Arabidopsis thaliana: one gene and its partners. The protein of the gene in region 1 purifies or fractionates together with the protein of each later gene. This does not show direct contact. Each region holds a gene or a part of one and is shown on either strand. Other genes may lie near its edges.

Region 1 (11,123 bases):
AACCAAACGGGCTTGTATGTGCCTGTGAGTTTGTCTTTACCGAATCCAAGCCTAGAGACTCTGTATCCAAGATCGTAGAAACCGTCGCCTATGGCAATAAGGAGTTGTTGTAATTGGCAGAGAGGAAGAGGGTGATACCATCTAGTGGCGGGATTGAACACAAAACCGGATTTGAATTTATCGAAGAGACAAACGAGACCGTCACAGCTATCCTGGGAAACAGAGTATTCTTTGTCCTCCTCCTCCTCCTCCTCCCAAGGAGTAGGGATCTTGACAGATGATGATGAACCCAACACCAATGTAGTAAGAGCTTCTATTTCCGAATTAATATCAGCACAACGGGAGACCATGAGAACATCTGGATTACCTGATTGCTGACGCTGTGTGAACTGTCTTCGCTGGAAGAATGGAGATTCAATAGTTGATTTCCATTGTTTCGATACAGCCTTGAATCTCAGCAGAGGATCCGCATCAAGTCTCTCTAGGATGCACTCTACGACCTCGTGGGGCAGCGATTCCATCATCAAGCAACGTTGCTTTTTCGACATTCTTGTAATTGCAGACAAGTCATTGTTGATGAAGAGATTTAAGAGGCTTATTTATAGATAAAACAGGAAAACAAAAATCTTCTATAGAAAAGACAAAACTCAACACTTTCCGTTTCTCAAAACTCAACACTTCCTTTTCATCAGATCAAGGAAAAAGGATCTTCCTCTCACGCGCGCGGCACAGATCTCCTAATCCTATTATCTACTTAACATTTTTTTTTTCTAAATTGTAAATATTTCATAGTTAATGAAAAATAGTTTAGGTTACAAACATAGAATTTGAAACATATGCATATGAATCCATGGTAAAAAGATTAAAAACATGGAAACATAAACCGCTTGATGAGTATGGAAACATAAACATAGAGGATCTTCTACTGTTGCCGGAGCATGATAAAGCAAAGTATCCGCTTGATGAGAAAGCTGAGAAGAAGAAAGGAGCCAAGAACCGTACCAACCCTTCTTGCAATTGACCGTTTTTGACGAAAATGAACTCGAACAGGTATGTAGATGAATATATATCTTCCCAGTTTCAATTTCTTTTGTATTTTTGTTGGATTTATTCGGTGGCCGTTCCTCTGTAATCCTTAGTTCTCTCTTGGTTTAGGCTAGATTGTTTGATTCATATTTTTGACATGAATGTTAATCCCTCCTTAATTATCAACATCTGTGATTTGGTATACACTAGGGAGTTTCTAATGAAGGTTGTTGCCCATAATATTTGTAGGCAGACAAAAATATGATAAGAGGAGGGAGTTTGCTTGCAGCTTCTTTGTGTGTCAGTGGGACATGAGGAACAAGCCACTTGATAATTTCTGTATAATGTGTTGAGTTTTGAAACACAAACATTAATTTCATTTTAAGTTTTGAATTTCTCCATGTGTCTATTTTACTCTTCATTATCTACTGGTTTTGAGATTTAAGGTTCAGATTCAAATTACTTCAAATGTCCGCCACAATTAGACAACAAAGAGATTTAAGAAACACATATGTACAATTAAAGTACAATTCAAAGCAGAGGTGATTTGAAGTACTCGAGCGGACTTCAAATATGGTTTGCGTCAAGACAAAGTTGAGGATTACTTTAAAAGTTTTGTACTCTATTTAAAAACAGTATGCATTCATTTATAAACCAGTTTTTATTTTTTTCTTGAATATAATTTAATATTAAATTCAAAAAAAAAAAAAAAAGACATGTTAAGAAATCTCCATTGGAGATGGTCTAAGGAAAAGTAAAACTCAACACTTTCTGTTTCTTAAATCTAATCGTTTGAGTAAGAATTTTCTAGGAATCTTAAGACAGGGACACAGATCTCTTAACTAATTTGTCTAGAGGGTTAGAACCTAAACTTACATCGAATTTGTTTAGAACCTAAACTCACGCTATTTGTCAAAAAAAAGTGAAAGAAAGAAAAATGAATTGTACAACATTGGAAAACAATCGTCTGGAGAGGATAATTGATGAACTGATGATGATTAGTGACAAGACAGCTACATCAGTTACTAGCCCAACAAAGTATGCGTATATATATACTTCAAATTTAAATACCCATAAGTGATAAGTTCCACCTACATGCTCAGACAAACGAACACAAACAAACATGAGGCCTTTGTTGACAAATTTGCGTTTTTAATCTCGAAGACCTAATTCAACCTCGAGTTCATCATCTTCCTCAAACAGCTTCAACAGTCGAGCATACTGCTCGTCTCTTTTCTTCTTTTGCCATAGCTTGTATAGGAAGAACGAGAACATGGCCACAGCCACAAATCCAACTAGAACAAGGATAACTTTTGTGCCTGTTTTGCTGGAAGAAGTATGAGATTCTGTCTTAACTCCTGCATTCGTGTTCTTGGAATCACCCGATAGACCTGAAAATATCATATCAGAAGACTTAGTTACTAGATGCCCTCTTAGCATATACAACAAAAAAAAATCAAGGTTTATGGTGTCCTCAAGTGCACTCGTGACTGTAAAATCTTGTCGTGTAGACACTCACTAGTCAGCTAAAGCTACACAGTCTATCCTCAAATAGTTACCATGTTTCTTATATTCGACTAAAGGGGAACAACAACAGCTACACACATAGACAACAGAGAACAAGATCAATTGCAACATGCATTTAAAGAAATTTACGGGAAAGAGAAAGAGATGAGCCTACTTCTTTTAAAAGCACATGGTGGCCAATTGTATAAATAGCTTATGTAAGAACTTTAAATGTCTGAAAACTATAGGCAACAAGTAAATACATATCTCATTAGTCAACTGCAGCATCACCATGAAACAACTGAGGAATTATATAAATACTTGTCACAAAAGCAATAGATTTTGCAGACAACCTCTTCAAATCAGGACATGGTCTCGCATTTAGGACAAAGGTAAACAACTATTATCCAGTGAAGTTAGTAAAAGAAACTATAACCACACCAAACCCATGAACTGAACGGTAAAATCCTCTTTGCTTATTTTCTCTTCACTAACATGTTAAGCACAAAGTTAGTGATTTGGCCAAGATCTACTCAAAAGAGAAATACAATCTTCCTATCTGCATGTTTCGATCCTGATCGCAAAAGACCTAATGCGTAAAGATTAAACACACTGTAGTATTTAGAAAGAGCCAAGTTGAGCTAAATATAACATAAATCTAGCGAATTGAGAACCTAAAATCCCAAAGGAATACTAAATCAGATGAGGATTCTACAAAAAAGTGAAATGAAATCAGATAGATCTGAAGAAGACGAACCTAAGAAGAACTGCAAACCAATCGAAGCGAAGAACAGTAAACGCCGCCATGAAAGACCACCAGTTGCTGAGTTCTGTCTCATCTCTCTCTGTCGATATGATTTTTCTGCTTGTAAGCAAGAACGGATCGATCTTTACTGCTGCAGAGAACAAATTCTTCTGGTGGAACAACTTTTGATGTTGAAATTAGAAAAAGGGAAAAGAACAATTCGACCACCCAGATTTTCTTTACAGGATTATATGCCTTGTAGCAGTAAAGAACAATTCATTTCGCTTGAGACCAACTTTATTAAATACGTCATTAATAAATTGATATACACTACCTTTCTTTTCTTATTTTGTGACCAATCTAACATATAGTAATATTTTTGGTAGTTACCAATCTAACGTATAATATAATTATCTATACATTTCTCAGCGAAACAATAATTTTTTATTTTTTGGTCAAACAGCGAATAATAATTATAATCAGCAATTTGTATATATAATCTGATACGAAAAATATTATGAACAAATGTTACATTATTTTGTCATAAGTTACATGTTCTTTTATTAGAGTTGTGTGGCGTATTAAGTTGTCTACCTTTTTTTATTCGTTAGTTAATTTCGAGATGAACATGCCAGTTCTTCTTCTACGAAATTAACTAGACTTATTATTCTTCAAGAGTTTGCTTTTTCAGCAATTTTTAAAATTGGAAAAATGTTCAATATATGTGCCAAAAAGACTTTACCACTAAATGTTCAACTCAAAGACCAATGTATATAAGTTGACCGAAACGCGTCAAAGAAAATCAATCAAGGCAAAATTACCGTAAAACAAATAAACCAGACCATGTATTGCCTATTGCCAGGGTAGACTGGCCGGTCAGGATTTCGAAAACTGGTATAGTAAACAATTCTGGACGGAGGCGAAACATTAACAAAGAACTAAAAAGACTTGTCCTTGACACTCGATTAGAAAAGAAAAAAACAGTCTATGCGACACGTCACAGAGCAAAACCCCTATGTGAGACAGACAGATAGAAAGATATGTAAAGCCCCAGCTGCAAAACCTGTAAATGGAAGTACCAAACCATTCTCTCTTCTCACTTGAAGCACTTGGCGTCCAAGAGAGCCTCACCTTCAAATGGCTCTGCGTCTTCAATCATCTGGCTAACACGCTCCTTCTGGGCTTCATCTGAGATATCAACCTTAGTCCACTCATACAGCTCCATGTCGTACACCTCGTCCATTATGAACTTTGGGATCTCTGGTCCACGGAACAGCCATAAACCCTTCACCTTGAACGGACCCTCTGACCCACAAATCAGCATCTTTCCAAAGGAGTATTTACGTGCCAAGTCCATACGCTGAAGGAACCCACCAACCTTGTTGAGCGTGACAAATGACACCATGTTCTCATCGTTGTACTTGTAGTCACAGAACCATAGTGAGTATCCCTCTGGGTCATACATGTCCCAGAATCCTGCATTTGAGCCACAATATTAGACATGATAAAAAACAATTGATTCCAATAGCTAAATAATTCCCTGATAGCAAAGCTGAAAAACTAGGTAGAGGAAGATATCACCACACACCTTTAATAGCAACCTCGCGGAAGTTAGATTTGGTGTTTGAGTAAAGCCTCTTCCAATCATCTAGAACCATAGGGCTTGGTGGTAGCAAGTCAAGAGGGTTCTTGGCTTTGGGCTTTGGTGCCTCTTCCTCTTCAGCAAGCTTAGGTGCCTCTGCTACTGGGGCTTCCTTTTTCTTAGGCTCTTCTTTGGGCTTTGCAGGCTGGGCAGCTTTCTTGGAAGCAATAGGAGGGACAGCTTCAGTCTGTTTGACATCACCCAACACTTTAGTGAAGTTTGGTTGGTTAACCACAGTCCAGAAGTACCTCTCAACATGAGGAAATTCAGAGGTAAATTTCTTGGTCATGACAGTAGCAAATCCCAAGTTCAAGTTGCAGACAGTGATGATATCAGCAAGGGTAATAGAGTGTCCGACAAGGTAAGTGTTAGACGTGAGATGTGTGTTCAGAGCATCAAGTGCTCTCTTCAACGTAGAGATCGCACCTTCTTCAGCCTTCATTTATATAACAATCACGGATGAGACTATTTATATAGTGAAAAGAATACCTAGATTGCCATCACAAAGAGTGAATGAAACAACCAATGAAAGTCAAAAAAGCTTACCGGAGCACTGTATGGCATAAAGCCCATTCTTGGGCCGAACCACCTCAAGATACTTGCATAGATCTCCAATGAAGAGAAATCAATCCATTGCTCAATTTGTGCCTGCGAAAAAACAACATGCAGATAACCATTGAGAATACTAACAAATAGAATGACAAACAATAGAAGAGGTGTCAATGGATTAGAGAAGAGTAGCCCCCAGGGAAAAAACAGCTACTTACATATTCGATCAGGGAGGATCCGTTCAAAGAGTTGTCACCATTCAATCGGCTTACTGTATTGAGATATCAACAGATCCATTAAACCCAAACGACAACAAGCAATCAAACTAGACACTGAGAGACAATTAAAGGAGAAAGTTATGAATGCTTTACCATAACGGGCAATTGCGTTGCTTTCAAATACTGAACCCTCGGGAGTCTCAAGTACAGGAACCTAGCAAGATCAATAACTCTTGGTTAGCTGAAAAATAGACTTAATAATACTCAGTCCAGAAATTTAGCAAACACCAGTGATGACAAACCTTTCCAATAGGGTTCATCTTGAGGAACGCAGGGGTTTTGTTAGTGACACCCATCTGAAAGTCAGAGGGCACATCGATCTGCACACCAACGTACTCTGCTGCAATGAGTGCCTTCTCAGCACTTTTGTTTCCCTTGTACGTGTGCAAGACCTGCAATCGTAATTCATCATCAGCACAATAATACGTATTCCAAATCAATAACTTAACAATAGAGTAGCTACATATCCAAACTAACATAATTTTAATCAATTTGGTGTATGAACAATCGTTCTATAAACTTAGATCCTAAAATTTACAAATCTAACGTTTCTACAATTATATCGATACATGATGCGATCGTAACAGTAGACAATCATAGAGAACTCACCAAAGCCATTGCTCAGACGGAATTCAAGCGAACTTGGGGCTTCTGATATCGGATCTGGTTCCAAGGAAAAAAAATCAAGCAGTGAGCTCGCAATTGACATGATCATAAATATGAATATGAGCTAACTGGAGAAAAAAAGATTGTTCGATCGATGGATCTTACCAGATATTCTGAAGAATCTTCCGTGAGAGCAAATCGAGAGAGAAGAAGCAAAAAGTTGAGGCGGAGAAAAGCTATAAAGGAGTGTTGAAGGGATGATGATGAAGAAGTAGGGTTTTTAAAATCTGTATTGAGTGTATTCCTCTGGTTTGGCTCGGTTTTGTTTGGTTTTATTTCTGATTTTTGTTTATTTTCCGGTTAAGCTCTAATTACTTTCCCTTTTATTAGCATGTATAAATGAATTACATATATGTAGGCTTTTTTAGTAAGCCCAACTTGACAAGAAAAGGTCTTCGTCGTTGGGCAATAACAAGCCGAGAAGGTTGAATAGAGAAGATCCAAGGGGAAAGAGAAATTAAATTATTTATTTATTTCTGTCATCTTCTCCTTTTCTATTTCAAAATCCCAAATCTAAAGCACTCCTCGAGAAAAGTGTAACAATGGCGAGAAGACCGGACGAAGAATACGACTACTTGTTTAAAGTGGTTTTGATCGGAGACTCCGGTGTCGGCAAGTCTAATCTCCTCTCTAGATTCACTCGCAACGAGTTCTGCTTAGAATCCAAATCCACCATTGGTGTCGAATTCGCTACTCGTACTCTCCAAGTACGCACACATCTCTCTCTATATATATAGTATATAGTGTAATCGAAATGTTGCTGGATCTAGGTTTAGTTCTAAGTTAAGCAGCATCCGGTGCTTTTCGATTCGATCCGTATCTGTGTTCGTATGAATACTCGGAAGCAGTCATTGTGTGTAGGAACATTTGGGCTTGGTTTTGAATTTTGATGTTTACATGTGTGGTGCCTGTTTTTTTCATTTGGTCGAGATTTTTGCTTTGGTATCTCTTAATTTAAGCGTTTTATTGATAATGTTCCCAAATTTGTCGATACTCTGGTACGTGGTAGTGTAAGGCTCCCTCACATGTCAGATCTAAAACCTTGTTTAAGGCAGATCTAAGAATCTCTTCATCTGAAATTGATCTCGAACATGATTTTCTTTTGAAGTATGAATCATGGTTGTTGTTTCACAGTTTCTAGTTTTCTTACTGGGTTGTTTGTGGAATTTAGCTGCGAAGTTACTAATTTTGTTGTTGCAGACACACTAATCATAGAGTCTGCTGCTCATTAGATCTGAATTAACCTATTAAAAAACCTATGATCTTTGTTCTAAGGTGGAAGGAAGGACTGTGAAAGCTCAGATATGGGACACGGCTGGGCAAGAACGATACAGAGCCATAACTAGCGCCTATTACAGAGGTGCACTTGGAGCTCTTTTGGTCTATGATGTCACCAAGCCAACAACGTTTGAGAATGTAAGCAGGTGGTTAAAAGAACTAAGAGACCATGCAGATTCCAATATAGTGATCATGTTGATTGGGAACAAGACAGATCTGAAGCATCTCAGAGCAGTTGCCACAGAGGATGCTCAGAGCTATGCAGAGAAAGAAGGCTTATCTTTCATCGAGACATCGGCTCTCGAGGCATTAAACGTAGAAAAGGCTTTTCAGACGATTCTCTCGGAGGTTTATAGGATCATCAGCAAGAAGTCGATATCTTCAGACCAGACAACTGCAAATGCCAACATCAAGGAAGGCCAAACAATTGATGTGGCTGCTACTTCTGAATCAAACGCTAAGAAGCCTTGTTGCTCATCGTCTTGAAAGGCTTTGTTTGTGTTGCACTTAAAAAAAGCCAAATATCTATGAGACTTTATTTCAAGGCTTGCGTTGTATTTGTTTTCTTTCTTTTTTCTGTTGTTGATAATATAACTCAAAGATAATTTTTTATATCAATTGTGGAGTTCGGAATCGTTCACACAAAACAAATTTTGGAAACGAAAAATATTTTTAGGGAATTAATTGTAGTTTTGAGTGGTAGTTGTAATGTAGTATCAGAAAAATAAGCAGAGTATAAAATGAAATAAACAAATACCAACGTAGACTATAGTTTGAATTTTTAATAGAGCAGAAATTCTTCGATTTCAAAGATAATTTAAATAAAGTAGACAAAATCACACAATATACATTTTTCAATCAAGAAGAAATGGAAAAGCAAAGAAAGGAAGTTAATTAAAAAAAAGGGGGAAAAAAAAAACGGAAGTCAACAAGAATACAGGCAAAACCAAAAATATATATTTGACGGAACAAAAAAAACAAAATATATATTTTATAGTATTAGTTTATGACATTATCTTTTTGCTAGTTTATGAGATTTATGAAGAAAAGGAAATATACTTTTAAAGTTGATAAATTGAAAAAAATTAGAAGAATGATTTACTTTTATTTTAGTTATTTTCTAGCAAGTTTTTTGTCAAAATGGTAAATTTCCAAGTCTTTCGAGTAGTTCCCGCCTCCTATAATATCAACAACTTTTAAGCAACTTGTAATCATCAACAAACAATTTACTTTGTTTCTTTGTCACTGAAAACAAATACATAAAAAAGATGGAGATCCCAATCTGGGGATGGTGTATTATCGTCGCAGGAATAATAATGGTGACGGTTTTATGCAATTTGCTCGATAGGTGGTGCTCGAAACCTCTTGAGATAGAAGAAGATGGTAAAGCGTCGTCTTCTGTAACTTTGGAGAAGAAGGATCCAGTGAAAGAAGATGGTAAGAGCAAGACGAACGAGAAGGCACAAGCTAAGCCAAATAATAATCTCGTTTGAAGAAAATTTTCAATATATTTGTTTTGCATCCCTTGTTTTTATCATATAGTTTTCTTATTTTTAACAAAGGTTAGACTCTTGAGAATCTAAAGAGTTTGAAAGATGTTATCTATGTATGGTTTCTTTATCTTATCATAACTAACTAAACATGTTGTGTGGTGTTGATGAAAGATTGAAAGGATTAATCAATCACATTCTCTAGAACCAAAGTCGAGAATTCTTTTAACTATTAGTCTCTTAGATTTGCTTCCATTACTAATCTTTCAAGTTTGAGGTGTAACTCAAATTTCTCAACATTTTTTTTCATGCAAATCTAAATTTCTGCAAATACAATGAAATTATACCATTAAACAATCCACCATATATAATATACGACATAAGCATCGCACAATAAAAAACCAGTAACATTTGAAAAGGGGAGGAGAAAGAAAACATGAATATTATTTAACAAAAAAAAAAAAACAAAAAAAGAAAAAGAAATTGAACGTCTACTAGTTAAAAAAAAAAAAAAAAAAAAAACTTTGAAGTCCCCAAATATCTGGGCCTTTTAGTGGATGTGGCCCAAATTCTAAATGGGTTTGACTTGGATCCGGTTTTGGCGAGACTAGTTCAGTTTAATAATCAGCCGTCGAATCCAAAGACTGAAGAAGGTAGTCTTAAAGAAAAACCCTAGAAACCATTACTTATCTCTCCCACTGGCTCTGTCTCTGTCAAATCTCGGATCGATTTCGCGGTGGGCTCGATTCGTGATTCCTCAAAGTTCATCATCCCTAAGGTAATTCTCTCCCCAAGCTGGTAGACTCAATCTACCGATTTTTGTGTTGCACTTAAGAAGCCGATATCTAAATTAGAGGTTTGCGTTTTTTTGGGGTAGGCACTGTCACTTAATGGCATCGGAATCGAAAAGCTACGCTAGGAGAGATCGTCTTCTTGAGATTGAGGCCACTGTTCGAAAGTGGTGGGAAGACGAGGATGTATTCAGAGCCGAATCTTGTGAGAATCTTCCAAAACCAGGAGAAAAGTTTTTCTCAACCTTCCCTTTCCCGTATATGAATGGTTATCTACACATTGGGCATGCCTTTTCATTGTCCAAGGTTGATTTTGCTTCTGCTTACCATAGGCTAAGAGGAGCTAATGTGCTTCTTCCATTTGGTTTCCATTGTACTGGTATGCCAATTAAGGCTTCTGCGGATAAGCTTCGTCGTGAGATTGAACAGTTTGGTAACCCTCCTGTGTTTACTGCTGAAGACACCACCAAAGTTCCTGAAGTTCAGGAGGAGAGCAGTGATACTATAGCTTTACCGATTCCGGGTCAGTTCAAGGGAAAGAAGTCTAAGGTTGCTGCCAAAGCTGGTGGACAGGTTTATCAGTGGGAGATTATGCGCAGTTTTGGTCTTACTGACAGTGAGATTGCAAATTTCCGAGAGCCTTCTGAATGGTTGTATTACTTTCCCCCTTTGGCTGTTGAAGATCTAAGGGCATATGGATTGGGTTGTGATTGGAGACGCTCGTTTGTGACCACTGATGTTAATCCCTTTTTCGATGCCTTTGTGAGGTGGCAGATGAGGAAGTTGAAATCTATGGGAAAGATTGTTAAAGACCGCAGGTACACTATATTCTCACCTTTAGATGGCCAGCCTTGTGCTGATCACGACCGTGCTACTGGGGAAGGTGTTCAGCCTCAAGAGTATACACTCATAAAGATGGAAGTAGTCAAGCCATTCCCTCTGAAACTGGGTCCTTTGGAAGGCAAGAGAGTGTTTTTGGCTGCAGCTACTTTGAGGCCTGAGACCATGTATGGACAAACAAACGCATGGGTACTACCTGATGGGAAATATGGAGCTTATGAAATCAGCGAAACTGAGGTCTTCATCCTTACTGAGAGAGCTGCGCTCAACCTTGCGTACCAGAACTTTTCGAAGAACCCTCAGGAGCCTTCC
Region 2 (10,328 bases), 7.5 Mb from region 1:
TTACCACTTCGATTTAGATGTTTAACATGTAGAGTTATGCATTAGTTCCTCTATTTGAATTACTTTTAGCAGAATCATTACCTACTAGACCTGCTAATTGTTATGACCAACACTAATTCTGCTCATGTCATTAATGATTGGTATTGAATGTGCAGGAAGGCATTGTCCATCTGCTAAGTACAATTGTACTCTTGTTTCCTGCTGCCTTCCACAGTAATTATGACAAGGTCAGCTCTCTTCGCTTCTAATTTCCTGAACTTATTAGCATTAGTATTTTGATAGCTACTTGACAACAGTTCATAGTCTAATGAATACACGCACATGTGCCTAGGTGGTAACATAAATATTTGAAAAATGTCTGGTGACTATGATAGTGTACTTTGAGTTTATTTGAAATGCTATTCCTTGCAGATTGAAGCCGCTATTGCCTCCAAAATATTTTCGGCGAAAACCAGTTCTAATATGTTAAAGGTATTCATCTTTTTATATATTCTCTATTAACTAAGCAAGAAAATATTAACGTGCACTTCTTTCTTTTTATATCAACCTTCAGAAATTTGCCCACTTTCTAGCATTGCTCCCCAAAGCTAAAGGTGACGAGGGCACCTGGTCCTTGATGATGCAAAAGCTGCTGATATCTATAAACGTACATTTAAATAATTTTTTCCAAGGTCTAGAAGAAGGTAATTTGTTAATTTCTTTGTTCTTTTCGTTTGTTTTCGGCTATAGAGTTTCCCTGAGAGAACACGGTGACATGCGTTGCAGAAACAAAAGGAACAAAAGCAATCCAACGATTGACTCCTCCTGGAAAAGACTCTCCTTTGCCCCTCGGAGGTCAAAATGGGGGTTTGGATGATGCATCATGGAACTCTGAACAATTGATTGTATCCAGAGTTTCTGCACTTATGTTCTGCACCTCAACGATGTTAACTACCTCGTACAAATCCAAGGTAGTGAGATATCTTTTTCTGTTGGATTATTTATGATTCCTCTAAATTTTAGACCTGGAGAGAGTTAGCTTTTTCGTACGTAGTCGTAAATCGATAGGTGTGCAATTTGGGTGTCTAGATTAAGGATCACTGTTAAAGCATCAAGTTAAGCATGCCCTTGCTTATGCCGTGTCCAAAGTTTGGATTGCTGCTCAGCAGACTCCTTCCGACTCTCGTGATATGTGCTACTACGTAATCCAGACATCTCATTTGCGTCTGAAAAATTCTGATATTCGTTCTTTTAACCTTCAGATTAATATTCCAGTTGGCTCATTGTTATCCCTTGTTGAGCGAGTGCTGTTGGTGAACGGCTCTCTACCTCGAGCCATGTCACCCTTCATGACAGGGATCCAACAAGAATTGGTTTGTGCAGAACTTCCAGCTTTGCATTCGTCTGCTCTGGAACTCTTGTGCGCTACTTTAAAGAGTATCCGCAGGTAAACCGGTCTCCCTTTATTTAATCTAGATTGTTTTTACCTTCATTGGCGAAAACTATATATTTTACATGTCAAACACATTAAATATTATATTTCAACTGAAACCTGACCTTAATTTCATTGACACTGACAATTGAGGAGTTGTTCCTTTGGTAGTTTATGTCTTGCTGAAAATAGTTTCGCAATTCTCGTTTTTCCAAATAATGGATTGTTACTAGTTACCACACCTTCCCGTGTCTTAGGAACTAAACAACATCCTCATATTGATTCATTTTGTAGCCAACTTTTACCATATGCTGCATCTGTGGTGAGACTTGTTAGTAGCTACTTCAGGAAATGTTCATTGCCAGAATTGAGGATAAAGCTCTACTCAATCACTACAACCTTACTCAAATCCATGGGTATAGGTAATTTCACAAGATCTTGCCTTTGATGTGATGAAAATATAAGATCATTTCTGCTAACATACTTCTCTGACCAGGAATGGCAATGCAACTGGCACAGGAAGTTGTCATTAATGCCTCTGTGGATCTAGACCAGACAAGTTTAGAAGCATTTGATGTGGCATCTAGCAAAAACCCCTCGCTTACTAATGGAGCTCTTCTTCAGGCTTGCAGTAAAAAAAGGAAGCATTCAGGAGTCGAGGCAGAAAATTCTGTTTTTGAATTGAGAATCCCTCACAATCACTTGAGAAGCCCGATTTCATTGAAAATAGCATCTCTTGAGGCACTGGAAACACTTCTCACCATTGTAAGCTCTTTTAACTCTTTACTATCAAAATTCAGCTTTTTGTCGACACTGTTGAAAACTTAGTAGAAAGTTATTAGTTACTTGAATCCTACTTATAATCACCATAGTTCTTCTTTGTGATTATGTTATAACAATATGATAGGTTATCAAATATCTTCTTTTCTTTTGGGTTTCAGGGTGGTGCATTGGGATCGGATAGCTGGAGAGAGTCTGTTGATAATCTTCTTCTGACCACTGCAACAAATGCCTGTGAAGGGAGATGGGCCAATGCTGAAACCTACCATTGTTTACCCAATAAGTCTACGACGGATCTAGTTGAGTTTCAGCTTGCAGCACTCCGTGCCTTTTCGGCATCTCTCGTTTCTCCATCACGAGTACGCCCTGCATTTTTAGCTGAAGGACTTGAGCTTTTCAGAACAGGTAACTAAGATTGTTGGCATGAATTAAAACTAAGCTTTAAACCGCAGAGATCTAGAGTAGTTGATGCTTATATATCGGCTTTGAACAGGTAAACTTCAGGCAGGAATGAAAGTTGCTGGATTCTGTGCTCACGCTCTCATGTCCCTTGAAGTTGTTATACATCCGAGGGCACTTCCACTCGATGGCCTCCCGACACTTAGCAACCGATTTCCAGAGAGCAATTCTTTTGGCAGCGAAAAACACAACACACCTAATCTTAATAAGTTGAATGTTATTGCTCATGATGGTGATGATCTAGGCAATAGATGGCAGGCAAAGGCGGATGTTCCTTCTAACAATGCGATTCAGAGAACCTTAGACACGACTTTACCTCTCCAAGAGAGCAACAGATTGAAAGTTGGGAATGATTTAGCTACTGTCGTGTCTTTGAGTGTCCAAGATCATACAGATATAGTTGCATCAGAGAATGGTCAACAAGCTGATGTGCCTGAGAAGGTTCCTGAGGAATCTCTAGGACCGGTTACAGACAAAGATGTTACGGCTCCCAAAGATGGGTATGAAGAAGTGGTGAGTGGGACTCAAGAGGGAGAGGATTTAGCGGTTAAAGACAGTCTGATGGAGGAAGCATCAATTGGTAAGAAGATAGAGTCCTTAGGGGAATCTGATGATGATCCTATTCCTAGTCTTCAGGAAGGTGATTTTCTCTCCTCTTCTTCTGATTCTGATTCTGATATTGAATCGTAATGCAAGACAAAAGAGTTCACAACCGTCTTAGAAGAATTTTGTTTCTAAGTTAAAGTTTTGATTATACAATTATACCTCTTTTTTACTTGTAAGATGTTTCAAATATGTGAGAGTTTAATTCCTTCCGAGAGTTTTTGTTTCTATTGTACACCAGTTTCAATTACTCACTAACATTGCAGCCAAAGCAGCCACAGAACCGAAATAACGATCGTGGTATATGAAGTTGATTTCTTCCATCTAGATCTTCCTAAGGCTAAGAGATTAACCAACTCCTTACTTTACCTTTGTGCTTAACTCGATTGAGAAACAAGTTTAACAAATATATAACGCTAAAAATGGATACATAAGTATAAATTTTATCAGCTTGAGTTGCTCTAAATCACAAACCCTTATCAGTCCTCACTTGCTAGTTTACTAGTTTTAGCTCAAAACCTGAACTTTATTCGGCAGAGCTACAAGGGAAAATTGCTAAGGATTCACTAAGAAACACATATCTAGAGATACAAGCGATGAACAGAGGGGAAGGAAGAAGCAGAGAATGGGTCATACACAAAGAAAACGTAATACTGAATTGTCACTTTTCATTAAATATCAAAATGGATCAGAGATGGCAGGCCATAACAGAGTCAAAACAACAGTCTACAAAAACTTGGGAAACTGAATATAGAAGAAGAAGAAGAACCAGACCACATGAACACAGACATTCCTTGAAGCTTTCTCCATCCTCCTGCATTATGATTCAATCCAACATAGACAGTTACACACCACATTATCTAACAAAAGATCACAGCTTAAAAAGAATTACGAATAGGTTCATGAAACTTACATATCTTGTTGAAGGCAACAATGTCACAGCTCTGGACATATTCATTGATCGGTTCAACAGTGAGTTGCTCTTCGATCATGGTGTCAATAGAGACAAGGTCGTCAACAATGGTGCACAAAATCTGCAACTTCTTGATACCATAACCAACTGGGACAAGCTTTGATGCTCCCCAAAACAAACCTTCCATCTGAATGGACTTCACAGCTTCCTCAAGCTTCTTCATGTCAGTCTCATCATCCCACGGTTTGATATCAATCAAAACTGAGGACTTTCCAGCTAATGAAGAATAATAAAAACAATGAGAAATCCAAGACATCTTCATATCATTCATATAAATTACAAGGGTAGAACAAAACCCAAACTTACATTCCTTCTTCTTTGTAGATGCCTTGACAGAAGCTGCTCTCTCTTCAGCAGCTTTCTTTTCCTCTTCGGTCTCCTCTCCGAAAAGGTCAACATCATCATCATCTTCTTCATCAGCCGCAGCATCCTACAAAACACACACATTCATATGAAATCTCCCCAATGCACAACTTTACAAAAACATTATGAGAAAACATAGAGACGATCAAGCATACCTTAGAATCAGCTGCAGGGGGAGTAGCAACAGCCTCCTCAGTGATAGGAGCTGATCCCTCAACAATGACACCGCTTCCTTCAGCAGAGACACCACTGTATATAGAAACATGATTATAACGAAACAATATTAGATTAATCCAGATTCCAGACAGCTAAAAACTTTAATCCATTAGTAAATGGAAAACAATAGAAGGTAATCAAGCTTACGAGATCCTCAAGAGGGCATCAATGTGATTGTACCAACGAGAAGCGTTCACATACTGTGAAGTTGGGGGCTTTGCAAGAGCTGCAAAGACGGTGATATCATCCTTTGAAGCCTGGTATCTATAAGCATACACAAAGGAAACTAATTATTACTCTTTTTGTTCAAAAAGGTAGAGATTAAGGATCTAATCTATTAGAGATGTTAACAACTTAATTGAGACAACACTTGAAAAAAAAGACAAATTTAAGAAATTGAAACTTACCCAGTAATGTAACTGCGAGTGAGAAGATGCTCGTCGAGCTTCTTCAATCCAGCATCAGAGTTAAGGTTAGGGAATGCTGCCATAGTTTCCGAAGCTCGAACCTTTTTCACTGATATAAAAAGCAGACAAGATCAGATCAACTACTAAAACCCCAACGATTCAGCAAAAACGAAACTTTATTTTGCTAAAAGACAGATCACAATTAGAAGCAAAGAACAACATCGAAAATTGATTCACTAAGACATCACTTAAGAGTTCCTAATCATGGGGATCAAAATACTCAAACTTCGAATTTCCAATCAAATACTATTATGACCATGGCTACTTTGAGATCGAAACAAACCTAATAGGAGGCGTAAGAACAAAAGATCTTACGGGAGAAATCGAAGAACAAACCTGAGCTAAAAGGCGCAGTCTTTGAAGATGAAGAGTGAAGGAGGAGGCAGAAGAGGATGGCGCAGAGTTCTCATAGGTACTTATTTAAGCTTCTAGGTTTTTCTTTAGTGGGCCTATATGTGGCCCAATTATCTCCTCAGTTAGGCCTTCTCTTTTATCTTGGTGGGCTTTACAAAAAAAAATCAATAAACCGGTTAAGATCTACACGATAGAGCATCAAGAAAACAATTCATAATTCTTCTGTCTATGAATGAAAGATAGTCATGTTTAAGTGAACCATGAGAAGTGTATATGGACCCAAATTTCCAGAGTGTCAGTTAGGAATAAATTAGCATTGTACTCAGAAATCAAAACTGTTAAAAAAAGTGGTAACAAGAAAAAATCTATAGAATTATTAATAAGGTAGTTTAGAATGATTTATGGAAAGATTAGATGTGTATGTATCTTACAAAATTCATCAATTTTCCTCTCTGATTAGTTGTCACTTTTTTCAGTTTTTCTCTTTTAAATTGTCATTTACTAACAAAATAATAAATTGAATTCATTTTGAAAATGATAGGTCACCCAATTTGTTTAATGTATAAGAAACTATCTAATATGTGGATATTAGTTATATTATCACCAAAAATGGCAAGCTACCCAAGCAAAATCGCAATATCGCTACAATGGCTGCATGTCTTGTTGGTTCGGTTCAAGATAATAAAGTTCTCTACATATTCTATTGATTCTTGTATCTAAAAGTTTATAGGCACAAACGATGCATCCGATGTAAACATGTTTTCTCGAATAAATTTTAAATTTTATTCAAAAAAAAAAAAAAAATCGCAATATCAAGTTCTTACTATTTTCTAAAGATGGAGTTGAGACCATTTGTTGGATCTCACATGCATAACGCCAAGAAAATCTAGTATACATACCAAGTTTTCATGTTTACAAACAGACACCACTTTAATATATATTTTACTAGTTATCTTTTTCAAAGTATTATTAGTTATTTATCACATAAAATAAATATAACATTCACGTACAAAAAAACTAAAATTTACAAAACCTTTACCCAAGAAAAAAAAACACTTTACAAAATCTATACACTTATGATATACATATGTTTTTATATAGTTTCTTAACACCTATTCTGATACGTCTAAGAAGTTGCATGTATGTTTTAGTCGTTGTAAAAAAGATTTGTTCAACTTTTCTATATTCTTATCACTTCTTTTTGTAAAAACAAAAAGCTATAAATTTTGTGGGGAAAAAAGTAACAAGATATAGTTTGGCCAAAGATGTACTTTGGTTTCTTTTAAAATTCCTCCTTGTTGAGAAAAAGGATTTCAGATTCCAATTGAGTTCCAACATTCTGGTTCAAATGCTTCTTTTCATAATCATTTTAAAGGAAGACTTTTTTTTTCCGGAACATACAGGTTTAATTCAATTTCAGAACTATATTATATCCTCAAACTTCTGTCTATATAACACTTTTAATGTAAACTTTCCTAAAACAATTATATCCATGTTATTTTATCGAAGCACAAAAGACATAGAGAATTCTTTTGGCCCTTTTTAAAAATTTGATGAGTGATCAACTTCATCGGCTGATCATTCCAAATATCCTGACTGATTTTTATTTTTCTTAAGGTAAATATAATCGACATTATTAGATTGATCGAATCGAACTCTAGTATTCTACTGTAATCTCTTAGTCTCACCTCATACAATCGTTGTGTGCGCCATGCCAAGATCACTAAATATCTATCTTGTACATGTGTAGAAATCCTCCACGACGGTCCACATATGATCCAATTGGGACATTAACAAGTATCACGTATTCTAATATATTAAAAGTTGTAAAAGTGTCATGTTCGCTAAGTATGCTCGCCAGTAACATCAACTTTGAGTTCCAAAACATATTACTTTTTGTTTCAATCATTTGTGATTTAGGTAGAATATTGGATCAACAAAAAAAAAACGATAGCATAGCATTAGCTTGCATGTGCTACATCAGGACAAATGCAGGGATAACAAACCAACAAATGTAATAATTAATGGTATATGTATACATATATATATATATATATATAACTTTAAACTTTTTGTTAGAAGAACCCACCATATATATAATTTAATATAGTAATATAATACATTTAATCAGATTAATTTCATAATTATTTGTTCTTTAAATCTCATGGTACATGATAACTAATGAATATTTAGTCGAATTTCAAATATGACAAAATTTTATCTATTGTATTATGGATAGAATGGTAGCTACGATATCACCTTCTAACAGTTTTCATCTGTGAAGTCTTCCTGTCACATACTCTTTTAAAGAAATATTCATTATTCCATATTTTTAAATTCTCAAAGCATGCATGATTGAATTTATATAATTTCTTTTGGTTATAAATATCTACAACTAAAAAAAAAAAACTGATTAATTATTATGAAAAAAAGTTTTCTTTAAAACGGAAAAAGAAAGAATGCATAAGTCCAAATTCACGAGTTGTAAATACTATCCAGACTCCAGTGTTTGACTAATCATATATACAACTTCAATTCAATCCCAGCATATATTTTTTTTTCTTATATAAAAATGATCAAATGATAATGGTCTTTCACCAAAGTTTTGGTAGTGGATCGTACAATTAATTAGGTATATAGCTAAACTATCATCGTGTTATACCATAAGCAGAAACCCAATTTGTAATTAAGAACTTAATTTAGAAAATTCTTAAACCAATAAGAAAACATTTTATTAATTTAATAATAGTTTCATCCGAATTATCGATTAAAAGTAGATCTAAATCTTTACATTTTCATCAAAATTGCTATTGATTCTTTTCAAGTAACAGTCCAACTAACATTAAGTAACGAAATAATGTTTTCATAAAAAATAGCTATATAAGGACAAACTACTATAATTTCATTTGAATAACCCTATAACGTTTGGTTCTCTGCTAGTATATCCAAAATTTTAAAATAAACGTGTCAAAAAGATACAAAACATTAAAATGCCATATTAGTATATATATTTTGAAAAATTCTAGTCAACTATGCTTTCATGTAACGTATGTAGTCACTATATATAATTTCGTAATTAATGTTGTCATACTCTTGTGTGATATTTTAGAAAATATCCATTAATATATTGAGTATAATAGCCAACAAAAAAAAAACTTGTTTTTATGATATTATAATGTTTTTGTAAGAAAACAAAAGTAACAATATTCAGATTTGTCATAAGGTAATAAATACACTAGAAATAAATGTAGAAGAATAAATATAGGTAAATAAAAACAAAGAAAGATAGTAATGAGTTATCCAAAAAAAAGTAATAGAAGAATTATTTTTGAAAAGTCATTGGATTTTTCTAGTAAGTGTCCTTCGTGTTGCATCTCAATTCTCCATTGATTCATCACCACTAATCATTTTCTCACCAGAAAAAAAACAACACAACAGAGAAACTCACACTCTTTATATTGGTAGTTCCGTTTCATTCGACAAACACACTTCTAACTCTTTTAACCCAAAAAAAAATGGAGGGAGGAATAATACATGGAGGAGCAGATGAATCAGCTTTCAAAGAATGTTTCTCTCTAACATGGAAGAATCCTTATGTTCTTCGTCTTGCTTTCTCTGCCGGAATCGGTGGTCTTCTCTTTGGTTACGACACCGGTAAGTTTTCTAATTTATCCACTCATGCATATATGTTATATATGTATGTTTGATGGGTTATATACATATGTATGTGTATATACATGCAGGAGTGATATCAGGTGCTCTGCTTTATATCAGAGATGATTTCAAGTCTGTTGACAGAAATACTTGGTTACAGGTTCTGTTTTACTTGGAATTAATTATGTCATTATGTATGAGTTTTTTGGTTAATTTTAAGGTTTTTTATATAATAAATGTTTGATGTAGTAATGACATCTCAGAAGCAAGAAAGAGATCATGGCCACAAATTAAATCATGACTTTGAGAACTTCAAAACTTGTTAGAGAAAAACTGTTCTGTCTCTAAAAACTATGGTATTAGTTGTAACAGTTTGTCAAAGCATATATATAAAAGAAAGATCATCAGGGTTTGGATTCTGTTTTAGAGTATGATTAGCACCAAACATCATGTCGCTTTTTTGCATTCCCTTTGTACACATCATGCCGTTTAGTATTTACCGTTAAGAAGCGCCTAAAGCAAGTTCCATGAACATACAAAGATACAAGCAAACACTAAACTTGAGATAAACACAATGGAACAGGAGATGATAGTGAGCATGGCAGTTGCAGGAGCCATCGTTGGAGCCGCCATAGGAGGTTGGGCGAACGACAAATTAGGGAGGAGAAGCGCGATTCTCATGGCGGATTTCCTCTTTTTATTAGGAGCTATCATTATGGCGGCTGCTCCTAACCCGTCCCTCCTTGTCGTTGGCCGTGTTTTTGTGGGCCTCGGGGTCGGGATGGCCTCGATGACCGCTCCTCTATACATCTCAGAAGCTTCGCCTGCTAAGATCAGAGGAGCTTTGGTCAGTACTAATGGGTTTCTCATTACCGGAGGACAGTTCTTGTCTTACCTCATAAACTTAGCCTTTACTGATGTAAGTGATACTAGCCTAAAGACAGTGAAAGATCAAACTTTGGCTAGTTTTGAAGTTTTTAATGTTCTGTTTTCTCTGTTTTTTAGGTGACCGGAACGTGGAGATGGATGCTCGGAATCGCCGGAATTC
Region 3 (9,894 bases), on another chromosome or scaffold:
TTGATAAATGTTTGTTGTGAAGTTTTGGCCCTAACTTTGTGTAACTTTGCTAGGGTTAGAGATGGGAGAGACAAGATTTCCAGATGAAGTGAGCTCGGATGCACTTTTCCGATGCGTCAGAATGAGTGGTACCGATGATGGAGAGGGCCAATACGCATACCAAACGACGGTGGGCATAGCTGGTCATCTCTTTAAAGGAATTCTCTATAACCAAGGTCCAGAAAACAAGTCCATGCGCAGTACACAATTCTACGAGAACCCACCAAGATCTTAATTTTTTTTATATCTTCTTTATTTTTGTCGTATGCAATAATCTCTATTAAAACTTTGTTGATTCAAGATTATCCAAAACTCAATACTTTACAGATGAAGTAACTCGGTAAATCGTTATGTTAGAGAGAATCTGTTTAAACATTTGTTTATAATTTTAAGAAGGTGGATAAATGAACATATATAAGATGGTGTTAAAAAATAAAAACAACGTATTAGATAAGAAGAGTCCATTGGGAATATTTGTGGTAAATGTTCCTGCACAGAAGAATGTCAACTGTGCAACCATAGTAATAGTTTTTGAAAGAACAAAATAGATAATTTGTTTTTTTTTGCCAATAGATTATTAAATATGAAAAAGACTACTCGTGATTTATGTTAATTGTGTAACGTGCCTATGCATGATTAGGGATTGTCTATAGCAGTAAATTCCAATAAATGAGGTTGATGGTTATTGGCTACACTGCCACCCCTTTAAAATCTTGTACGGATGTAGAATTTGTTATCTATTATATATTCTATTAGCTTAGCCGTTGAGTCGTTCGAAGCGTATATGAGGTTTGAACTTTTTAATCTGATTAAGATAGTATATGTATCGGTATAGTCAGATTTGTTATTACAATTTATAAGCCACCAAATAACGGTCTTATCGCTGTAAACTTCGGATCCGTCGCTAAAATATATTAGCAGTGGTCAGTGGATTTATTTCCGTTGCTAGTTGATCGTTTTTAGATAATAAAATACAATATTACAAAAGGTGGATTTTTATGTTAAAAAAATCCAATATATACAAAAAGGCCAATACAAAGTTCAATATTCATGAGTTTATTTTTGTGAAAGCTTGGAGAGTTGGTGTACACCAACTTTTGTAGATATTTTCATGTGTTCTTGTATTCACAATGGAACCTTGTTGGTAATAATTTTGTTTTCACCACATTAGATGGAATTTGAAAATGAAACCACATCATAGCATGTAAGTAATTAGGACCAAGACAAGGCACAAGAATCCTCGATCTCAATCTTGTTAGTAATTAGGACTAAATCTACGTCTTTATAAAATCCAAGTTTTAATTAATTTGATCCTCCTACTTTCCAACTTCTCTTTACTTAACACAACTCCAACCTAACGTTACGAGCATCTCCCCTCTTTGCGGCCTACATAAATGATATATCAAAACATTTTGTTAACATACCATCAACTCCACACACTGACACACATCAATTCTATGCTTCATAACTTTTGTCTTTCTCAAATTAGAGAAATATTGTAACAAGAGAAAATGGAAGTTTTCATTGATTCGACCTTTGCCGTTCAACAGCATTATCTTTCTCTTTGAGGTGTATTATATGCGATTCATCAAAATTGTTGTATCGCTTCATTGATTCCAAAAGCTTAACTATTTTTGTTGATGTCGATGGACCAATTGATATTTGCTCCCATGTTTTTAGTCTTTTTTGCCATGGGACCAAACTATAGGTTTTACATTCTTGTAATTCCTAACTTTTTTATTTTCTAATGAAATATTAACATTTTTAGAAAAAACAAAAAAAAAGAAGAGAAAATGGAAGTATTATTATTACTATTCATTTTGTTTTAAATGGATGTCCAATTATAAGCACCTCAATAAGTAAAGAAAGAATCCATATTGAAAACCAACGTAGTATAGATAAATGTAAAACGGTCTTTAAACATGTTGATCAGTGTTGACCTTTCGTTGACTTTTTATATTCACAACCGGGAAACCAACAACCACCGCCGTTTCCAGGACCCCATACTCCTCCGTTGCTATCTCCTCCCCATCCCCATCCTCCTCCGCCTCCTCCTCCATATCCACCACCCCATCCACGGCCATATCCATATCCATCTCCTACTCCTCCACCACCGCCTCCACCACCTCCTCCTCCACCACCACCACCACCAGGTCCACTACCACCACCTCCGCCACCGCCGCCCCCACCTCCTCCACCTCCGGATCCAGGGCTAGGTTCACCTCCTATACCTATACCAATACCAATACCAACACCATCACCGTTGTTCCTATCATCTCCTTTATTCTTTTCATGGTCATTGCAATCTTCTTTTCCACCGTCGTCACCTTGTCCTTTCCCATCTCCTTTGCCATTTCCTCTTCTTCCTACTCTACCGCTTCCTCCTCCTCCTGCTCCACCATCTCCCGAACTTCCTCCTGCTCCATTACAACCTTCACAGCTTCCTTCTCCACCGGTACAACCTCCACAGTCTCTTTCTCTTCCTCTGCAGATTTCGCAGCCTCCTTCTTCTACATCACCTTCTTGCACTCTTCGTGCTTTGTTATGTCCACCACTTTCAAACGTTTTGTTGGAACCCAAAACGGAAGATTGATCACTACTATTAAAATATCTCCTCACGGGTCTATATCGCAGCCCGTGGACAGAGCTTGAACTCAACAACAACACAGCACCAGAACCTAACAAGAACACCACAAAGCTTGACATTTTCACCAATATCTCTATCGAGAATTTTCTCAAGTAAAAGTCATCTCCATTCCCATCCTTTTTATAACCCAAATCAAGACCACAATAATTATAGTGAGCAACCAAAATGAGCATGCATTACCCATATGAAACCTACCATTTTTTTTGTGGGAACTAAAGAATACAAAAAAGATATGACTTCAGAAATATTGCGTCACACCCAAGGTCCTTGTTCTAGCCTTCTCATATTCTCTGATTGTTAGAAATTTTTGTAAACATAATCTTCTTTGCAATACTAAATTATGCGTACTTGTATTTATTTTAAACATACGTGCATTCTTGCTTCACACTTTCTGTGATGTTATCAAACTTATGATTTTTCGTATTTGAGATTTGGTGGAAACTTTAAGACAAAACTGAATTGTCTTCACATATATCAAAATGAATCAGAGTTGGTAAAAGCCCTCCCACAGAGTACAATAAAAACAGGTAACAAAACTGGATATAGAGAAGAAAACAACAACATAAACAGTTCTTCCTTCAAGCTATTCTCCATCCTCCTGCATTATGATTCAATTCAATATCCAACAGTTAGTTACACACCAAATTATCGTATAAAACAATCTCAGCATTCTAAGTAGTTGAGAAAAGGTTCGTGTAACTTACATATCTTGTTGAAGGCAACAATGTCACAACTCTGGACATATTCATTGATCGGTTCAACAGTGAGTTGCTCTTCGATCATGGTGTCGATAGATACAAGGTCATCAACAATGGTGCACATGATGTGCAACTTCTTGATACCGTAACCAACGGGTACAAGCTTTGATGCTCCCCAAAACAATCCTTCCATCTGAATGGATCTTACAGCTTCCTCTAGCTTCTTCATGTCCGTCTCATCATCCCACGGCTTGATATCCATCAAAACTGATGACTTTCCGGCTGATTAAGAAAAGAAAGAAACCAGATGAGAAATCCAAGACATCATTATATCGTAAACTACAGGTGTAAAGGCAAAAACACAAACTTACATTCTTTCTTCTTTGTAGATGCCTTCACAGAAGCTGCTCTCTCTTCAGCAGCTTTCTTTTCCTCTTCGGTCTCCTCCCCGAAAAGGTCAACATCATCATCATCTTCTTCTTCAGCAGCAGTATCCTTAGAATCAGCTGCAGGGGGAGTAGCAACAGCCTCTTCTGTGATAGGTGATGACCCTTCAACAATGACACCACTTCCTTCAGCAGAGACACCACTGTAAATAGAGAGACAGGTTATAAGAAAACAACACTAGACAAAAACTTTAATTGGTAAAAAACAGAAGGCAATGGAGCTTACGAGATCCTCAAGAGGGCATCGATGTGGTTGAACCAACGAGATACATTGACAAACTCTGAAGTTGGGGGCTTTGAAAGAGCTGTAAACACAGTGATATCATCCTTTGAAGCTTGGTACCTATAAACATACATACATAGAGAGACAGAAGAAAGTAATGGTTACTACTATTGTTTCAAAACAAGATAGATAATTGAGACAGCCCTTAGAAAACAGATTCTAACCCAGTGATGTAACTGCGAGTGAGAAGATGCTCATCGAGCTTCTTCAATCCGGAGCCAGAGTTGAGGTTGGGGAAAGCCGCCATTGTTTCTAAAGCTCGAAACTTTTTCACTGATATAAAGCAGAGAGATCAGATCAGATCAGATCAGATCAAGTAAGGAAAAACCCACCAACGATTCATCAAAAACGAAACTTTCTATTTCATAAAACCAGATCATGACAACAGAAGATCTAAAAGACGAACCATTGGGTTAAAACGTATGAACAACAATAAGAATGCTAATCAACTAGATTTAGATTCACAAACACCGAAATTTAAATTCTAATCACATAATCCCAAAGTTGCATAATTTGAGGTCGAAACAAACCCTAATTGGAGGCGAAAGAAGAATTGAATCGAAGAAGCAACAAACCTGTAGCAATAAAGGAGCCGACTTGAAGAGGGAGAGCAAGAGAGAGAGACGTAGTGGAGGAATTAGCGTCGAGAAGGTGATGTATTTAACCCTCTGAGATTTTTGTGTAATGGGCCGAATTTGGGCCTAACATTTACATTTTAGCGGATTAATTCTCTATCCATTCTGATTTTTGCCATTTGTTTTTTGTATGGATGACACCGAATTAGAAATATGCAAAAATGTACATGTTACATATTAAGAACCTATTTTACCTATTTTCAAATATAATAACTAAAATAATTATCAAATTTTTTATAACACTTAAAATAAACTAAAATATTTTTTTCCAATTTTGTTGGCTTATGAATTAATCAAGTTCGATTGTTTAAGATGATTTTTTTTTTTTTTTTGAATTCTCAAAAAACAGTAACCACACAATCACACATGTACGTTTCTTGCATATTATTATTCTAGCAAGCGAAACAGTATAAAATTTTAGTTTTCACATGTACGTCTGTGAATTTGGGTGATATAAAAATTGATAGATAGGGCCAATGTTATCAACATGTACATCATCATCTACTATCGCCGTACAGAGAGAAAACTAGGAAAAAGCCAAAGTATAAAGGCGACGACGTAAAACTAACTACAAAAATATGTTGAAAGTTCAATAAGACAACAAGGGACTAAAAGCTCGTTTATTATGTCAACATGTATAGTATGTTTGTTTGTTTTTGGTCAACATAGTTTCTCCGATGGTTTTTTCGGGTAAAAAATTAGAACATGTAGGGTTTCAAAATGAGGGAAGTTTTCATGTAAACAATTGTGGGAATGTGGAAGTGTATAATATATACGCACATGAGGAGAAAATGAGAGAAGAAGGGCAATGATGTTTCGTTTTACCTGATTCAGCAGTCATGAGGGTTAATCTAGTCTATGAAACTGGGTGAAAATGGGATATGGTCCTAGTAATAAATGTTGGGTTTAGTTAGAGAGTGTTTCGAAAAACAGGGTAAGAATTGTCGAGTTCGAGTCTTTCCAGGATTTGTTGAGTTTTCCATAGGTAAGATGAGTGACCTTCCACCATATCCGTTACATCTACCTACAAATGTGATGATGATTACTCTGATTGTTTCTATCATTTTCACTTCCTACGAATTGAAGATGAGAGTAAATGAGATGACTTACATCTTCAATCCCCGGTATACAGACCGGTTGGATTCCAGCTAATCCTTGGGACAACAGACTGCAGAATTTAATAAGGAAAAAAGAGTTTGGATTTGCAGGTGAAAGGGGGGATCGAAGAACACAATTCAACATACCTTGCACGAAATGCAACTCCGAGGGTCCAGTCATTTGTGGCGTAAACATTAATGAATCTTCCAGCCACCATCTGGTAACCCATAAAAAAACTCGTATAAGATGATACAGAACACCAAAAGACGGATCTGTTTCCTAGACTGTGACACCAACTCTTGTTAATGGTAGGGAACTCTCATCAAGAAGGTTTATTACCTTTCTTACGTCTCGCCAATTCTCATTCTTGATTGAAATTGGTGCTCCAAGAAGAACAACTCTTTCCACAATTTCAGCTACCGTGAAAAATGTGTTAAAGACAAGAATCAATTGTCAATTCTAAAGCAAAGATAAATATTGAGTGGAGAAATACCATTCTTTTCAGTCTCTGCCAGAGTCTGGAGGCACTTAAAGACAACACGTGCACCAAGCGAAAAACCAACCAGAGTCACAGGTCTGAATTTCTCACAAGTTTTCCAATGTAAGAGAATCAACATGCTGATGTAAAATACTAATTGCACAACTTTCTATCATAAAGATATATGATGGAATTTATCCAATAATTATACCTATTTCCTTGCAACCCTTTTCGAAGCGCTTCAGCAAGAAGCTTCCCTGCTTTGTCTGACCTGAAATAAGATAATACGAAAATAATAGCACATAAACTTACTTGCAGTACTGGTTTCATCACATTTGGCATTTCAGTTTCATCAAATATTTTCATTTTACCTGTCAATAGCAATACTCCATCTACTATCTATAAAATCAGCAGCTACAAGGATTGTTGCCGGCCAAACCATTGCTGCTAAAAGCGAGTTTAGTACGGTGCGCATTGCACCTTGTCTCATCAACTCCATAGCAACTCCTGCAACAAGTTCATGTCAATGTTACTATCTATTCTTAGAGCAATAGCAAAAAGATAGATTTACATGGTTACACGTATTGGATAAAACTATATATTATTACTTGAAGTAAGCCAATCCTGAATTGCAGTGCTCACTGCAATAATATTCTCGGATTCCCATTGCACCGTGTACCTAAGAAGGTATTATAGCAAACATATGGATTTTATGATATAGTCACAAAAAATATACACAAGAACAATTCATTTTAATACCTTTCTAGGTTGCTAGTTAACCCTTCCCAGGGTTTTACAAAGTCTTCTTCCTTTAAAACAAAGCCAGCAACTAAGATCTCCACCGCTAATCGCTATTACACCAACAAGAAAAATAAAGAAAGAACAAAGAGATCAATGCAGAGCAAAGAGATTTCAACATGAAACAGCAGGAATTTAAAACTAACTCCTTGATTATGATTTTCTCCAATAGCTTTGAATTCAAACTCTTCAATGTCACCAGTTCTCCTAGCCATCTTCGTCCCAGTGAGCCCAGCTCCAGCAGCTATTCATGAACACATGTAGAAACAAAACAGAAGACTAAGAACTATACAATTATCATCACTTTGATTCATTTTATTTCTTAAAGGAATCTAAAACTGATTCTACTTTTTATTTACCTCCAAAAGATGCTGCAACAGCAACAGAACCAGCAACAGTTCCGGCAGCCTCAGCAGCTGCAGCAAACCCACTGGCTCCAATTACCGGAACTATTGTGCCTAGAGTTGGAGCCAATGCACCGAACCCTGCAGCTATTGCTGGAGCAGCCAATCCTGTTTCACATAATATGTAATCAAAACAGATTAAGAATTAGCATTTTCCAAACACATACTCTTAATTTTCTAAACGTTGGAAGAGATATTAACAGTTAGAAGACATCATACCACCAGTGATGGCCATCAATGTACCCCCTGTTAAAGCAGCCGCTCCAACTATGCCTCCACGTTTCCACTTAGCCCATTCACTATTTGGTGACAAAGACTCTTCTTCCTTATTTCCACTTGACTTTTGCAATGCCATGGCAGAGCATGCAGACATTGTCTCAACTGCTTCCTAGAAAATACAGAAATTGATTCTCAGGTCAATCCAAATGCACAAAACAGAGAATCCTAAATATCCCAATGTCATCAGATCCTAAATCCTCAACAAGATAGCTAACATGTAACTATAGGGTTGCTATGCTATGTGGTAGCATAAAATTTACAAAATAATTTGAATGAATGAAGCAAACAGACCATTTTAATCCACTGAAAGTCAAACCAAGTAGCAAGTAACCGCAGAGCAACATGGTGACGCGCATCATAGCCTTTCCTACGCCGTGTACATATCTCATTCTCCTCATGTTTATCTGCCAAGCAAGCAGATAGTAGCTCGTAAAGAACATTTATCTTTCTCTCATGGCTAAGCAATGCTACTTCCCCAACAGGTTTCTCATGTTCAACAATCCCAAGATTGTGGCCTCCATCTCTAATTTCACCCTCCCCGTGGCTCTCCGTTTCCTTAACCTCAGCACCAGACTGTGCCTCGGGAACAGAATACTTGTCGCGGCATTCGTTTTCGAATTCCACATGTTTCTCCATCTTAGATTCCACAGATAGAGAGCTGCTTCGAATGTTTTGATCCATAGCATCAGCAGCTTTAGCTAAGGCGGTCTCTTTCTCCACCATTTCACTAGAATCATCATCATCATCACTCACATCCTCTGAGAGTAACTTGATAAACTACAATAAACCAAAAGTAACATCCAATAAAGAAGAGCTCCTCAACATTCACAACGAAATTTCAAAATACGGAGAGAAATTAATCATACCGCACCGATGTGATCCTTAGCCTGAGTAGAAGCAGCTATCTCTTCAAGGCCATGCCAAGCTGATGAATCAATCTGAAGACATCTGAAAGCAAATTACAGAGACAGCTCAAAATGTATACATTACACACACAGAGACGCATATGAACATGACTATTCCAGATGATTTCAAGATCACCTGAGAACAGGACGGAGGAGGCCGGAAACTTCGTGGACCCAGAGATCCGCCTCATCGGAGATAGGATCACTGTCGCTGCTGATTGGCTCTCCGGTACTTCCGGTGGCCGGGATTCCCAATGGCTTTGACTGGCTGATCTGCGCTTGGTTAAGCGCGATTGCAAACAAAGCGCTTGCCGCGTATCTCTGCGACGGCGTCAAATTTGACGTAGCTTCCACCATCAACTCAGATCAACAAAAACGAAATCGAAGAAACAACAAAAAGTTTCCAAATCCAGAAACGATCAATAGAGTTCGTCTCATTTTCCAAAAACAAGTAGAATAAACTGGAGCCTACACTTGTCATGATATAAATAGATTTGAAACATTCAAAACAAAAAGAATGAAACGTTACACTATCATTATCATATATATAGAATAATAAGATGATATGATCCCTACAAATGTTTTGATTACATCCATGGACAACAATTTCTTCCCATTTTTATACTTGTTCCTAAGTACAAACAATGTAAAAAAAAAAGATACAGAAGTTGGGTATGTCTGTGCAAATCTTAACACAGGACAACGTTACAAAACCTAAATACTGAAGAAAACAATGGGTGCAGTCAAAAATACCGCGAAGAAACATCTTCTACATATGCACCACTCGTTTTTTTTCATTTTTGCTGATGATTCTGCCATTTATTTATGTTCTGTAATAATCCTGCAAAAAAAAAGAGAAGAAAGAGGGCATAGTCCACCATCGATCAGACGAATCTAGGACATTGGATGATCTATGGTAACCTGTGCCCCAGGTTATGATTTCTCTCTATGTGAACCCGAGCCCACGACTAAAAATGCACGGTGCTGTTAGATCGTGAATGCATTTGAAGATCGTTTGTGGAGCTCATGGAGTCACCTTTGCTTACATCTAGTGCTGGGCTATGTCCTTCTGCGGGACTGAAGCTATCGTTTATTGAGTGCCGGATTAATAATTCTTCAGGACCACGGAATGTCGAAGTTGGAGAAGGAAGACGTTTTTGGGACTCCATGGCTTCCACTTCTGC

Evidence for each region.
Region 2: the proteins of AT1G09640 (region 1) and eEF-1Bb1 fractionate together in Arabidopsis thaliana (co-fractionation; one large-scale study listed by BioGRID). This does not show direct contact.
Region 3: the proteins of AT1G09640 (region 1) and AT2G18110 fractionate together in Arabidopsis thaliana (co-fractionation; one large-scale study listed by BioGRID). This does not show direct contact.

The regions. Positions count from the first base shown.
Region 1 is NC_003070.9:3,115,403-3,126,525, reverse strand, and holds AT1G09640 (Translation elongation factor EF1B, gamma chain), read right to left. Parts: upstream 6,788-11,123; 5' UTR 6,518-6,787; intron 6,410-6,517; 5' UTR 6,365-6,409; coding exon 6,356-6,364; intron 6,139-6,355; coding exon 5,989-6,138; intron 5,901-5,988; coding exon 5,840-5,900; intron 5,740-5,839; coding exon 5,687-5,739; intron 5,568-5,686; coding exon 5,466-5,567; intron 5,356-5,465; coding exon 4,866-5,355; intron 4,754-4,865; coding exon 4,374-4,753; 3' UTR 3,984-4,373; downstream 1-3,983. Other genes in the region: AT1G09650 (F-box and associated interaction domains-containing protein), read right to left, coding at 1-548; AT1G09645 (uncharacterized protein), read right to left, coding at 2,179-2,417, 3,290-3,371; RAB11c (RAB GTPase 11C), read left to right, coding at 6,955-7,119, 7,688-8,176; AT1G09625 (uncharacterized protein), read left to right, coding at 8,959-9,183; AT1G09620 (ATP binding/leucine-tRNA ligases/aminoacyl-tRNA ligase), read left to right, coding at 10,071-11,123. UniProt on the Arabidopsis thaliana protein: Probably plays a role in anchoring the complex to other cellular components.
Region 2 is NC_003070.9:10,634,253-10,644,580, reverse strand, and holds eEF-1Bb1 (translation elongation factor EF1B/ribosomal protein S6 family protein), read right to left. Parts: upstream 5,668-10,328; 5' UTR 5,609-5,667; intron 5,322-5,608; 5' UTR 5,296-5,321; coding exon 5,213-5,295; intron 5,070-5,212; coding exon 4,953-5,069; intron 4,839-4,952; coding exon 4,745-4,838; intron 4,657-4,744; coding exon 4,533-4,656; intron 4,443-4,532; coding exon 4,163-4,442; intron 4,068-4,162; coding exon of another isoform or gene 4,066-4,067; exon of another isoform or gene 4,065-4,065; coding exon 3,980-4,064; 3' UTR 3,799-3,979; downstream 1-3,798. Other genes in the region: AT1G30240 (proline-, glutamic acid/leucine-rich protein), read left to right, coding at 156-227, 412-471, 554-683, 766-950, 1,242-1,426, 1,706-1,833, 1,908-2,176, 2,353-2,596 and 1 more; INT2 (inositol transporter 2), read left to right, coding at 9,142-9,280, 9,370-9,440, 9,864-10,199, 10,286-10,328. UniProt on the Arabidopsis thaliana protein: EF-1-beta and EF-1-delta stimulate the exchange of GDP bound to EF-1-alpha to GTP.
Region 3 is NC_003071.7:7,867,102-7,876,995, reverse strand, and holds AT2G18110 (Translation elongation factor EF1B/ribosomal protein S6 family protein), read right to left. Parts: upstream 4,796-9,894; 5' UTR 4,689-4,795; intron 4,387-4,688; 5' UTR 4,361-4,386; coding exon 4,278-4,360; intron 4,174-4,277; coding exon 4,057-4,173; intron 3,974-4,056; coding exon 3,756-3,973; intron 3,667-3,755; coding exon 3,391-3,666; intron 3,285-3,390; coding exon 3,283-3,284; 3' UTR 2,986-3,282; downstream 1-2,985. Other genes in the region: SRS4 (SHI-related sequence 4), read left to right, coding at 54-274; AT2G18100 (transmembrane/coiled-coil protein (DUF726)), read right to left, coding at 5,659-5,772, 5,859-5,916, 5,993-6,063, 6,186-6,262, 6,340-6,422, 6,536-6,595, 6,696-6,831, 6,933-7,003 and 7 more; AT2G18090 (PHD finger family protein / SWIB complex BAF60b domain-containing protein / GYF domain-containing protein), read right to left, coding at 9,679-9,894. UniProt on the Arabidopsis thaliana protein: EF-1-beta and EF-1-delta stimulate the exchange of GDP bound to EF-1-alpha to GTP.